Rattus norvegicus: one gene and its partners. The protein of the gene in region 1 purifies or fractionates together with the protein of each later gene. This does not show direct contact. Links are inferred from orthologs where the notes say so. Each region holds a gene or a part of one and is shown in the gene's direction. Other genes may lie near its edges.

Region 1 (4,186 bases):
CACCCAGCCTTGCCTACAGGGAGTTCCCGGCCTTTTATACGCCAGCAACTGCAGAGCCATAAAGGCAAAGATAAGATGGTTAAGCTGTCTGCCTCCTGTTCTGAGGATGGAATATCCGGGCCTTGGAACGTGGGAGGCCGTGCTTTACCACTGGGCTTCCTGCCCAGCCCCACACACAGTTTGCAGTTGAACATCTAACTTCCATACTTTTGAGGTAGTACCTAGGAGTAGAATTGGTAAGCCGTGTGGTAATTCTTTCATTAAAAAAGAAGATTTATTCACTTTTATTTTATGTATATGAGTGTTTTGCTTGCATGTTAAGTGTACCATATGCATGCAATACCTGCAGAGACCAGAAGAGGGTGTCTGGTCCCCTAATCCTGGGGTAAAAGATGGTTATGAGCTGTCCTGTGGGTTCTGAGAATCGAACCCAGCTCCTTTGCAAGAGCAGCCAATGTTCTTAACCACTGAACCATCTCTCCAGCTCCTTTTCACTATTTGAGGAGCTGCTCCTGCTTCATTTAGAGACAGAGACACAAAGCCCTGAACACCAAGTCTGACATGGGATGGTAATCAAACTAGTATTCACTAGCCATCCTCATCACCCTCACTCATGGGTCTCTGTAAGTACTAGATGCTCTTCTAGGCACGATGATGGCATTTGGCATATTTCATCCTTATTGCCATATGAAGCGAGTGTTATTATTCCATTTCATGGAGGGAGACTGAGGCCCAGTGAGTTTTAAGTAATTCCAGCTTGTGTATCAGCTGCTCGATAGAGTTAAGACTCAGGGGTAAGGCACGCTCCTTGGAGGCTGGCTTCCGAGTTCCTCACCGCTGCCACTGTATCACTGCTCAGGGAAGTGTCACTTTCAACAGCAAGCAGCTGGTCTCCAGAGGCACACAAGCTAGGCTGGTTGTGAAGCATGTTCTGAGGAACTGGGCACTGTGGTCCCTGAGGTAGCTTCCTGCCCTGTCAGGACACATGCAGATTGAAGTGGTGCCTGGGTACCAGCAACCCAAGGTCAGAAGGCTGTGACATCATGGTGGGTTTGGGAAGAACTACTTGTCCCAGTGCACTCTTCGATTGGGACCAAGTTACTTAAACCTGAGGCAGGTGGTAGGCCTAGGGTCACTAGTCATTTCTAACTTCCTTGTTACCTGATTTTACAGCCCAAGGAAGTGCAGAGGGCACAGGCTCAGGCCATGGAGCTGTCTAAGACCCAACCTGTGGCTATGGTAAAATCAGTACCTGGAGCACACCCTGTACCAGTGTATGCCTTCTCTATGCAAGGCCCCACGTACAGAGAGGTAAGCCCCCTATTCAACCCTGCCTCCATCTAAAAGGCCTAGACTCCTGCCAACAGTGAGGTGTAATCTTATAAGAATCTGGGCCTTTCTAAGGTCTTTATTTGCTCCACATTCTCCGTTGCTCTGGGCTGTGCCGCCCCCCCCCCCCCGAAACTCGAAATAAGCTTGAGCCACTCTCAGCCCAGCTGGGATGCTGAGACAGCCAAAGCTATGAGTCCGATCAACTGAGACTGTTGGTCAGCGGCCATGACCAGTGTGCATGGCAACCTGAGAGGGCCTCCTGTTTGCAGACACGTGCTCAGCATGCCCAAAAGAACGGGAGCGAAAACGTGCCACAGACTCCTGGTGCTCAGTTCAGTGTCTCAGCCCAGCGACATCAGAGGCACCTGAGTCACCTCTCTAACTCCCCGCTCCTCAGGAGGCCTCTCAGACAGTCAGCCCCATGAAGAGGAAGTGCTGCCACATAGATTGCTGCAGAAAGATTATCAAGATGGAGTCCACGGATGAGAACGAGGACAGGTTGTCGACAAGCTCCCCTGAGCAGCCTAGGCCCAGCACTTCCAAGGCCATCTCACCTCCCCATCCGGATGGGACTTCCAGCACTGAGAGCACCATCCCTGAAAAAGAGACACCCCTGCCCAACAACAACCATGTGGCCAGTGATGCAGGGGAAACAGGTAAGAGGATTAGGCAGGGGAATACCTGTGTAGGATCGTCATACTGCCCTCAGACATCTGGAGCACCCCAGGCCCCAGCTCCTCATTCCAATCCCACCTGGACACTCAAAGCCACCAGGACTCCCGTGTCTGAGTTGCTCTGAGCAGCCACTGAGTATGGCACCGTAGTTTACCCTGTACTTTGCTATGGTTCCAGTGTGAGGCACCCGAGGGGCCTTAGCTCTGCCTCCTTCCCTCTAAAACTGCCAGTGCCAATCTCTGCACTCTGGGGACATAAACACTCCATCTCCTCCTAATGCACACAGGACAGGGCATCCATCATCCCCAGCCCATTGGCTTACAAGGATTCTCCTGGCTGTCTTACCCCAGCCAGTGGACATCCCAGGAAGGATTTAATGCTGCCTCCCCCTGTCCATTTCAGAGGAGCGAATCGTAGTGATCAGCAGCTCAGAGGACTCAGATGCCGAGAATCTGGTGAGTAACTCGGAGTTCAGCCTAGGACTTCTGCCTCCCCTTGTTCAAGGTCCCAAAGGCCACAGCCACAGCAGGTGACTCTCAGGCTCACCTGGCAGCTGGGAAGTTCCCCAGCAAGGCAATAAAGCCTAAGTCATAGCCAGGACCATTTGCAGGCACTAGCTGCGTGCTTATTGCATCCTGGTCCTCTTCCTGCACCAGGCAAGAACACCTCTGTGATGCTTGCTGGGCTGCTTGCTCCAGGCCTTGGCTATCCTCTGTAATATCCAAAGCCCTTCTCTAGAGCTTCCTTGTGTATTTTCTATCTGCCAAGTACTCCATGAGGAAAGCTGGACAAGAGTTCATTCCCAGGCATCGTGGTGACACACACCTTTAATTCCAACACTTGGGAAGCAGAGGCAGGTATGGATCTCTGCGAGTTCAAGGCCAGCCTGGTCTATAGAGTGAGTTCCAGGAAACCCAGGGCTGTGTAGAGGGATTCTGACTGAAAAGCAACCACAAAGTCGGTCAGTGAAGGTTAGTGATAGGTAGAGTGTACCTATGGGTATCAAACAATGGATAAGAGATGCCTTGTTTACTTTTCTGTTGCTGCGGAGAGACACCGATGCAAAGGCATCTTAGAGTAGAGAGAGCTTGTTTGGCTTTGTAGTTTTAGAGGGTCAGTCTATGCTCATCATGACAAGGAGCTTAGCAGCAGGCAACAGGCATCATGCTGGTGCCGGACCCGGAGCCAGAGCCAGAGCCAAGAACTCACGTCTGACCCACAAACACAAGTTACAGAGAGAGCTGCTAACTGGGAATGACGTAGACTTTTGAAACCTCAAAGTCCACTCCCAGTGACCCACCTAACTCCAACAAGGCCACACCTCCTAATCCTTTCCAAACAGTTCCACCGACTAGAGTCCAAGGATTCAAACATATGAGCTTATGGGGAACATCCTCATTCAAACCACCAGAGACGCTCTATGCAAGATCTTACCTCATATTAGAAAACTTCTTTGAAGGCATCTTATAATGAAACCAGTGACTGTTCTGTACCTGGAGGCATGTATGTCATCAGAAACTAGGCTGTTAAGTGTCCAGAGAAAGCAGAGCATGAGAAGAGTAAGAGGTTAGACTGGAGGTCCCTATGGTCCCCAAGCTCACAGTCTGAGATCCTGTATTGGAGAGTGTACAGAACCCTCTTTACCAGCACACATCTCCCTGCTAAGTACCTGAAGACCCTCCCAGCTATGTTGGACCCCCCACCCCAGCAGAACCTGTAGTCTACACCAAGGTACCTGCCACCCACCGAGTTGGTCCTCCCATCATCCTACTGAGCAAGCTCTGACTGAGTCTTCCAGCCAGCCTACCACTTGCCAGAAGTGTGCTGCTGTTCTCAGATCTGCATTTTCTCACACAAAGCAAGGAGAGCCACCTGCCTTCATCACACCTTTGGTAGCCTGTCCTCCAGGGGTATTGTACCCTGACACAGGCCTCCTCTTATAGTTCAGGCCACCACTCCTGCTACATAGGGCTTCCCAGGCATCCTGCTAATGCCCATACACAGATGCCATATGCCATATCAACACATTCTGCTCGACGCACAGAACCTTCCAGTCCCTTCGATACTCCCTCCAGGGCTCCACCAGTCTTCACTAGTGACTTTGCAATTTACTTTTTCTCCCTTACTTTTCCATGGCTTCTCAGACCAATGCTTCTTCCATGGGTGGTGCTCAGGAAGC
Region 2 (4,186 bases), on another chromosome or scaffold:
AAACTCTGGTCTATTTTTAAAAACAAGGTACCTATACCTATTTAAATGTCATTGTGGGCATTAGATCAGATTATATACCCTATTAGCAACAATTCAGTTGGCATTAATTATTACTTTTCTCTTTTCTCTGGAAGAGTCGTGTATGCCAGTCTTTTTGAAGCTGTTTAGCCTTTCAGTTATCTCTGTCTTTTCCTAGAATGCCTGCAAAGTAACACTTTGCTTTTTTTCTCTATTCTGTTATTCTTTGTGTGTATAAACACTTTTCTCATTTGTTGTGGATAAACTAAGTCTGATGCTTTCACTTTGACCATGAAGTCATTAGGTCTTGATTCATGTTTCTAAACGCTGCTTCTTCCTTGGGCTCATCCCATGAAAGTTATGTGTTATACCTAATCGGCATAGAAAACTCTGTTCTGGGCCGACATGACCACAGGTCATGTTTCCCTATGTGAGGAGTGTGACGTGTGTTCCTATCCTGCCATCTCAGGAGTGTGCCCACTGCGTCTCCAGATCTCAGACCCACTCTACCTTAGCAAGCTTCCTGGCATGGTTTACCCTCCCATGGACGTGTGCCACCACACCCAGCTATTTTAATAAGTCATAGTTTAATAAAGAATTATATAGTTTATTATTAAAAGAAAGTCATATTGCTAGGCTCTGTTTTGATATTATAATCTCTTCACTTGAATTTTGCATTTTTTATTTTACTAGGTTAACTTATTTTAAAAAATTAAGTCACTTCATATTTTTCTTTCAAACATATTTTGATTGATAGAAAGGTCAAAAAATCAATTTTTATTTCTTTTTTTTTTAAGATTTATTTTATTTATATGAATACACTGTAGCTGTCTTTAGACACACCAGAAGAGGGCATCAGATCCCATTACAGATGGTTGTGGGCCACCATGTGGTTGCTGGGATTTGAACTCAGGACCTCTGGAAGAGCAGTCAGTGCTCTTAACCGCTGAGCCATCTCTCCAGCCCAATTTTTATTTCTTTTAATCAGTGAAAAATGGTATCATTTTTTTCCTCTTGGCTATCCCTTTATGATATACTTTATGAGAACAGCACTGAAATTTCAATTTTTAATTTCTTTTCTTTATTTTTAAGTTAGAGTCTCTGATTATTGGTCATGATTTTGACTTTATACTGAAATGAACACCATTAAGAATGAAGTGGTCAAGTAGTACAGTATGTGCTTGCAGGACTAGGGGAGGAGTCTTGTCTGTGTTCACTGTCTCAGGTGTGGCTTACTAATGATTTCAGTGATCTGTATGTAAGTTCTCAGATTTAGAGAAATTATTTCAAGAAAACAGTAAATTATATTTTTTAGTGAGTTAAAAAAAAGTCTAATGCTTCTTAAGGGTCAAAAATATTAAACAGTATAAAAGCATAGAATTAAAAATCAGGCTCCCTCTGTTCCAATTTCTTGACATCCTTTCCATAGGAAGTCTTAATATATAATCACCTTGTAATATATTTTTGATTATTTTAAAGGTTGGTCTTAAAGCATTTGTTCTGTGACATTTCTGTTAAAATAGTTGAATCTTTTTGTTAAATAAAGATGTAGAGCAGATGTGAAACAAACCGTTTTGTGGGGAGGTTTATATAGGACAGCCTTATTTTCATTCTAACCGTGGCAAAAGAAGCACTATTACCATGCAGGGAGTGTGGGACAAACCCTGACCTGTGCAACCCTTTCCTGTAACTAGTCATCACATTCTACACCAGATTTCTTACTCAGTTTGTCCCTTTAGTCAATCCATTACAATGTTTTTCTCTCTTTCAGATTATGCTGTGGAAGAGAAACCATCACAGATTTCAGTCATGCAGCAACTGGAGGATGGTGGCCCTGACCCACTTGTGTTTGTTTTAAATGCAAATTTATTGTCAATGGTTAAAATTGTAAATTGTAAGTTAGAATTTTTTAATTAAAAATAATTTCAACACATACTTTTTAGAGCCTTTATAATCTTCACACAAAAATATTTTAATATATAATCACATCCTACTGGAAGCAGTTCTGAGAGAGTTGGTTCTTATAAAATAGACAGTGGTGATGCTAACTGAACCTCTTACCTTTGGTCACAGAGATGAGACTGGTGAATTCTCCCTGGAGGGAAGTCAAATAAGTTTTGCAGTGATATGGGGATGTTAAGTCACAACTAATGACTAGAATAATTGTGAGTAAGTTATCCAGGGCAGCAAACAGTAGTTCTTAGTAGATCTTAAGATCCAGAAGCTTTAATCATCTTATGTGCAGAATATTATGTGGTAAAAAATGTAAACTACATAATATATACTCAAACTGCGAAACTAACTTATCAGAAGAAACAAATTCTTGGTGCTGGAAGCATGGGCATCAGTGTAAGAAAGAAGACAGTGAATTAAATCTTGATTCTTTCTGGTATGTATTAGAAAGTAAGAGGCAGCTTGCAGGGAATGTCCCCCAGTTTCCACTTGACCTTAGAAACCAGAAACAGCTCTGCACTGCTTCTCTAGACATCCTCCATTGATGAAGTGGAGGTCTCAGCCTCAGTCATTAATTAACTGCACCTTTATATATTTGGCCTATTGTTACTGTTATCCACGTTCCACCCCAGCTCATATCATGTATTGTTTGCTTATGTGATATTTCAGTGTACTACATCCAGTTTATAAGTTACAATTAGAAATTAGCTAACCTCTCCATGTGAGGACAGAAGTCATCCACTGCTTTTACCTAGTACAGCATTTTGCCATAGAAGTTACTCATTAAATGATTGTGGAACAAAAAAGAGAGAAATTAACTAGCCTATAGTTCTGAAGCACCTTAAAATAGTGGGCTAATTGAAGGGCTGGCAACTGTCTTAGTTGGTAAAGTGTTTGCCATGCAAGCAGGAAAACCTGGGTTTGATCCCGGCACCCACAGTAAAAAAAACAAAAACAAAAACAAAACTCAACCAACCAACAAACAGACAAAACAAAGAGGAGGAGGAAGAAGAGACCAGGTGAACCAGCATGTGTCTGCAATCCCAACATTGAAGAAGCAGATATGGGAATTTGAGGATTTCTGACCGTCCACTCCACCCAAATTGTCAAGCTTTATGTTCACTGAGAGAACCTGTCTCAGGAAATAAGGGGGAAAGCAATTGAAGAAACCCACCATCTCTGTGGCACATGGACATGTGTATATGTGTGCATGAATAGGACTAGGTACTTCCTAATTAGGTACCCAAAGTAGTGATTTCCATTCAAAAAGAAAAGGATCTTTTATTAGTTTTGAAACACATAGTGGTCTTATTCATTCTCTTATTTGATTTCTTTGGAAATCCTGTTGTTAGATTGCAAACAATAATGTGTCGAGGATGGACTGATATTGCTGTATGTACAAAAAAAAATATCTTTTTCTTGTGGATTTTTTTAACCCTTTCTAACCTAAAGTGAAAAAGTAAAAGTAGTCTTGACAAGCTATACTTTGTATAGTGTACAACCAAATCAAGTTGCCTTCTGATTATCTAGTATTTTCTTTCTCTCAGAAAGGATTGTAATTAAGCTAGCTAGTACATAAGAATGTATTTTCTTTTGGCCAGAACCTGAACTCAAAGCTAAAATACCGAGTTTTATTCTTTTTGTTCCTAGTCTTACATAAATAATGGTAAAGTGAGTTTTGTGTATGGGTGAGATGTGCATGTAGGTGAACATAGCCACACATGTGCCTATGAAGGCGGAGGCCAGCGGAAGGTCTGTTTGTGTATTGTATTGCTGTCCACCTTTATTTTTTGAGGTGGGGGGGGGAGAAACAGAGACAGACCAAGACCTGGAGCTTACTAGTCATCTACACAGGCTTGGCTCACCAGTGTCCTGGGGCCATCCTGTACTAAGGTGACTGGCAGGTGCCATTGCGTAAGGCCGGCTTCTTATGTGAGTGCTGGGATCTGAACTCCAGTCCTCAAGCTCATACAGCAAGTGCTTTCCTCACTGAGCTGTCTTCTCAACTCCCAGGAAAAGTGGTTTGTTTTTAAATAGTAATATGGAAGACTCTATCTTTGTTGTCTATTTAAGTCTTAAATATATTTTCATTTTTTTATTTCTTTTAACTTCCTTCCAGTTATTTTCCTAAGCATTGAGGAAAAAGCAAACAAAGCATTGCCATGTTTTGTTTTCTACAGTGATTCTTGTTCATGTAGTGACCATTTTAAATTAA
Region 3 (4,186 bases), on another chromosome or scaffold:
ATACTTAAAGGCATATCCTGTAGCAGGAAAAAGGATTATAGCAGAAATATTTTATATTAAGAAATAACACACTTTGCCTCAGTGGTTAAGAGTACTAGTTACTCTTGCAGAAGACCTGGATCTGGTTCCCAGCACCCACATATCTTTCTTTAATTCCAGTTCCAGAGATTCCCCTGCCCTCTTCTGGCCTTCACAGGCATAAGACATGCAAGTGGTGCACAGATATACATACATGTACAATACCTGTACACATAAAACAACACAATTTTTTAATAAAGAGGAATACACACTCCAACTTGAACCAGGTTTGCTCTAATGCTAAGCTTGATCTCTAGTGGAATATTTTGTTTTATTTTGAGATGGAGACTTAGAATGTGTCCGAGGCAATAAACTCTTGGCCTCAAGAAGTCTTCAGTGTCATCTTCTGAAGTAGATAAGATTACCTTTTCTTAGAAACAAAAGTTGGGTGGGTTTGTTTGTTTGTTTGTTTTGGTAAGATTTCTTTATGTGTTTGAGAGTTGCATGTGTGTATGCCTGGCACTTGTGGAGTTCAGAAGATAGAGCATTATATCCTTTGAAAATGGAGTTATAGATTATGAGCCACCATGTAAGGGCTGGGAACTGAACTTTGGTCCTTTGCAAGAGCAGCCATTGCTTCTAATTCACTCACTCCCTATTTTTTTATTTTGTTTTGTTTTAATAGTAATAGGATTTGAATTCAGTTCAGTTATTTTTCTTAGGTTTCTAAGATTTTATTTTGTGATCGTTATTTCTAGTAATATTTTATTTTTTATACTAATCAAATATAATTTGCTTTATTATATTTATATTATATTTATCTAAACCAGAATTTTTCCTACTTTCTTTTAGGACACTGCTACATAGTGGTGTGATTTAATATGAGTGTTTTGTTGGGCAACTCTGTCCTTTTGAACATTTATTCCTTCCTATCCGTAGTCTTCTGGTAATATTTAGAATCCATTTTTAGTCCTGAACTGTCTAATTGCTTTTATACCAGAAGAAAAGTGTAGAAGTTGTTTTGCAGTATTCTCAGAGGTTGTCAAATGAAGTGGATTGTACTTAGTGGTATGATTTTTGTTGTTGTTTGTTTGTTTGTTTGTTTTTTGAGACAGGGTTTCTTTGTCTAATCTTGGCTGTCCTGGAATTAGTGCTGTAGACTAGGCTGGCCTGGATCTCATAGAGATCCCTTTGTCTCTACTTCCCAAGTGCTGGGGTTAGAGGCATGTGCCACCACCACCTAGTGTGGTGTTCATTTTTAATTAAGAATAAAATACAGACACCCACTTAGTCCCTGCGCTCAGGTGTTGGAACGTGAGTTCTAGGTGTGTCCAGTATATGACACTACATACCTCATGGGAAAAAGAATGGGAAGCCATGTCTGAATCCTTCAGAGAAGAGTTAGGTGGGTTTGTGAACGCCTTTGTTTCCTAATTATATACGTTTGTCTTAATTTCTGTCTGGAGACCTATTGTCATTCTAGTATATATTAGATAGAATGCATTTATAACTACGGCAAAACAGTTAAACAGTTCATCGAAACATATGGTAGCTATTAACAAGCATATACTAAGTATGTGTAAACTTGGTCAAAATTCAAAAATACTGTTTGAAAACCATAGTTGTTTATTTCCATAAGTTTATTTCTGATAAAGAATTGTTTTATGAATATTGACATGGGGAAATGGCCCACTCAGTAAAGTGCCTGCCATATAAGAATGAGATGAGAACCTGAATTTGGATCCTCCGAACCTATTTAAAAGATCAGGCACAGTGGCTTGTGTCTAACCCTAGTGTGAATTGACAGATTAGGAAGGGAAGATGGATCCATCAAACAAAGAAAAACACAGGACTCTGGTCAGCCTCTGGTCTCCACATGCATTCCTGTCTGGAAGCACTTACATCACACTGGCAAGTAATGTATGTGTCCTCCCCACCCCCACCACACACACACACACACACACACACACACACACACACACACACACACACACACACACACACACGGGAGTTGTTTTATATTAACTTTTCTACTTTTTCCTTTGGGAGCTTAAGTACAGATACTATTAAGTTTTTTTTTTTTAATTTGATTTCTAATGATATTATTGCTTGGTTACAGGTGTAATTATTGAGACAGACATAATTGGCTCAGATCTTACAAAGAACTCTGACTCAGATATACAATCCAACATGCCCGATGTACCATATGAACCAGATTTGGATATTGAAATAGATTTCCCCAGAGGTACTTAAATACTACTTTATCATTATTAAATCAAGTTATATGGTTGTATTTAAGGTAATTGATCAACAGTGTTAGTAAAATTACCTCTTATCCTCATAATTGTTTCTTTTTTCCGTGTGTCCTTTGTAGTGGAGGATGCTGCATGTACTTTTCCACTTAGCTACATTCTTCCTCCTTTTCTTTTTTATTTCTCCAAATAAAACTGAATTAATTGCAGGAACTTTAGAAACTAGAGAAGAATACAATACTTGTATTTTTTCAATTCAGAGGTATTGATAGTATTAGCGTAGAGGTAGGAATCATGATAGGGTTTTGCTATATAATTCAGACTGGCCCCCAACTCAAAGCATGCCTTCTCCCAGCCTCTCATGCTGGGATTATAGGTACGTGTCAAATGTATAGCTTGGTAGCATTTTTCTTAATGTTCTTGAAAGTTAAATTCATATTTAAAGGAAAAGAAATACATTTACTTCTTTAACAGATGTATGCTCAGGGCTGGAGAGATGGCTCAGTGGTTAAGAGCACTGACTGCTCTTCCAGAGGTCCTGAGTTCAAATCCCAGCAACCACATGGTGGCTCACAACCATCTGTAATCAGATCTGATGCCCTCTTCTGGTGTGTCTGAGGACAGTGGCAGTGCACTCATACATAAAGTAAATCTTTAAAATAAAAAAAGAGAGCGACACGCTCCCTTTCGCTGCTGGTTAGTGCAGATGAAGTGTAGACGTCTTCCGTCTCATACATAAAGTAAATCTTTAAAATAAAAAAAGAGAGCGACACGCTCCCTTTCGCTGCTGGTTAGTGCAGATGAAGTGTAGACGTCTTCCGTCTCGTCCGTCCGGATAGCTTGGCATGCTCTACAGTCCCAGCCCTGGGAGACGGGGGCAGAACTTAAGTTAAGGGCAGCTACTGTCAGGTTGTGAGGTCAGTCTGATTTAATTAATAAGGGTCCGTCTCAAAAAAGACAAGTGTTTGAAAGCCTTGTGATAGTACATTCCTGCAGTCCTGTTGCTAAGGTAGGAGGGTTGTGAAGTGTAGACTCTGTAAAGTAGGTTCCAGGCCACAGACAGACAAATGTGTTCCTGTTCTCATTTTCCCCTAATTTATAAATTCCTACTGAATGAAGTGTAAAGCATTCTACGAAAAAGACAAGAGATTGAACAAGATTGGCACTTTTAGATCTTCTAACTAGTTTTATAGTTGTTTTCCTTTTTCTAGTATCATACAGTTCTGTGATGCTTCTGTACTGATTGATACTTGCTACATTTGGTTTTTAGTTTATCAAATAGTTTAGCAAAACTCAACACCATGTTAAGTATGAGTCTCCCTGTGCCTCGCCTCGCTGAGACTTACCCCATGTCTGGATGATCCTTCATGTCACGGGACTCTTTATTGGCCGTGTTTATGTAGCAGAATCTTGTACTGTTATATTTGAAGTAAGATATTTTCTAATTTGTCAGCTGCAGAGGAACTTGATATGGAAAATGAGTTTTTATTACCACCAGTTTTTGGGGAAGAATATGAGGAGCAGCCCAGACCTCGATCTAAAAAAAAGGTATAGAATTTGTTAATGTTTTATATTTTTTATTCATTTAACATCGCTGTAGCAGCATGTCAGAGAAAGATGCTTTGGGGATATCTTGGGCCTGACAATATGGGGAGATAGATATTAAATTCATCTTAATATAATGTCAAAATGGAAAATAGTTGACATAAAAAGAAAATTCAACTCAGACAATAACAAAGATTATTTTCTGAGTGAGCATGGTGGCACATAGCTATAACCACTGCATTTGTCTCAATGGAAAGGAGAAAGGAGAAGGGGTTGGTGATTTTCAGTGGATTAAATTTCTCATCAGTTTGGATGAGGTTAATTAATGAAGAGAGATGTAGTTTATTTTTAAGCATGCCAACACAGAGAGG

The links.
Region 2: the proteins of Pml (region 1) and Zfyve9 purify together in Homo sapiens (affinity purification with western blotting; 3 studies listed by BioGRID and IntAct, with this or other methods). This does not show direct contact. The link is inferred for Rattus norvegicus from reciprocal best matches to the Homo sapiens genes PML and ZFYVE9.
Region 3: the proteins of Pml (region 1) and Zmym2 purify together in Homo sapiens (affinity purification with western blotting; 3 studies listed by BioGRID, with this or other methods). This does not show direct contact. The link is inferred for Rattus norvegicus from reciprocal best matches to the Homo sapiens genes PML and ZMYM2.

Annotation. Positions count from the first base shown.
Region 1 is NC_086026.1:67,534,020-67,538,205, reverse strand, and holds part of Pml (PML nuclear body scaffold), read left to right. Parts: intron 1-1,173; coding exon 1,174-1,311; intron 1,312-1,729; coding exon 1,730-1,988; intron 1,989-2,409; coding exon 2,410-2,462; intron 2,463-4,186.
Region 2 is NC_086023.1:128,660,532-128,664,717, reverse strand, and holds part of Zfyve9 (zinc finger FYVE domain-containing protein 9), read left to right. Parts: intron 1-1,789; coding exon 1,790-1,912; intron 1,913-4,186. UniProt on the Homo sapiens protein: Early endosomal protein that functions to recruit SMAD2/SMAD3 to intracellular membranes and to the TGF-beta receptor.
Region 3 is NC_086033.1:35,206,607-35,210,792, forward strand, and holds part of Zmym2 (zinc finger MYM-type protein 2), read left to right. Parts: intron 1-2,137; coding exon 2,138-2,263; intron 2,264-3,723; coding exon 3,724-3,818; intron 3,819-4,186. UniProt on the Homo sapiens protein: Involved in the negative regulation of transcription.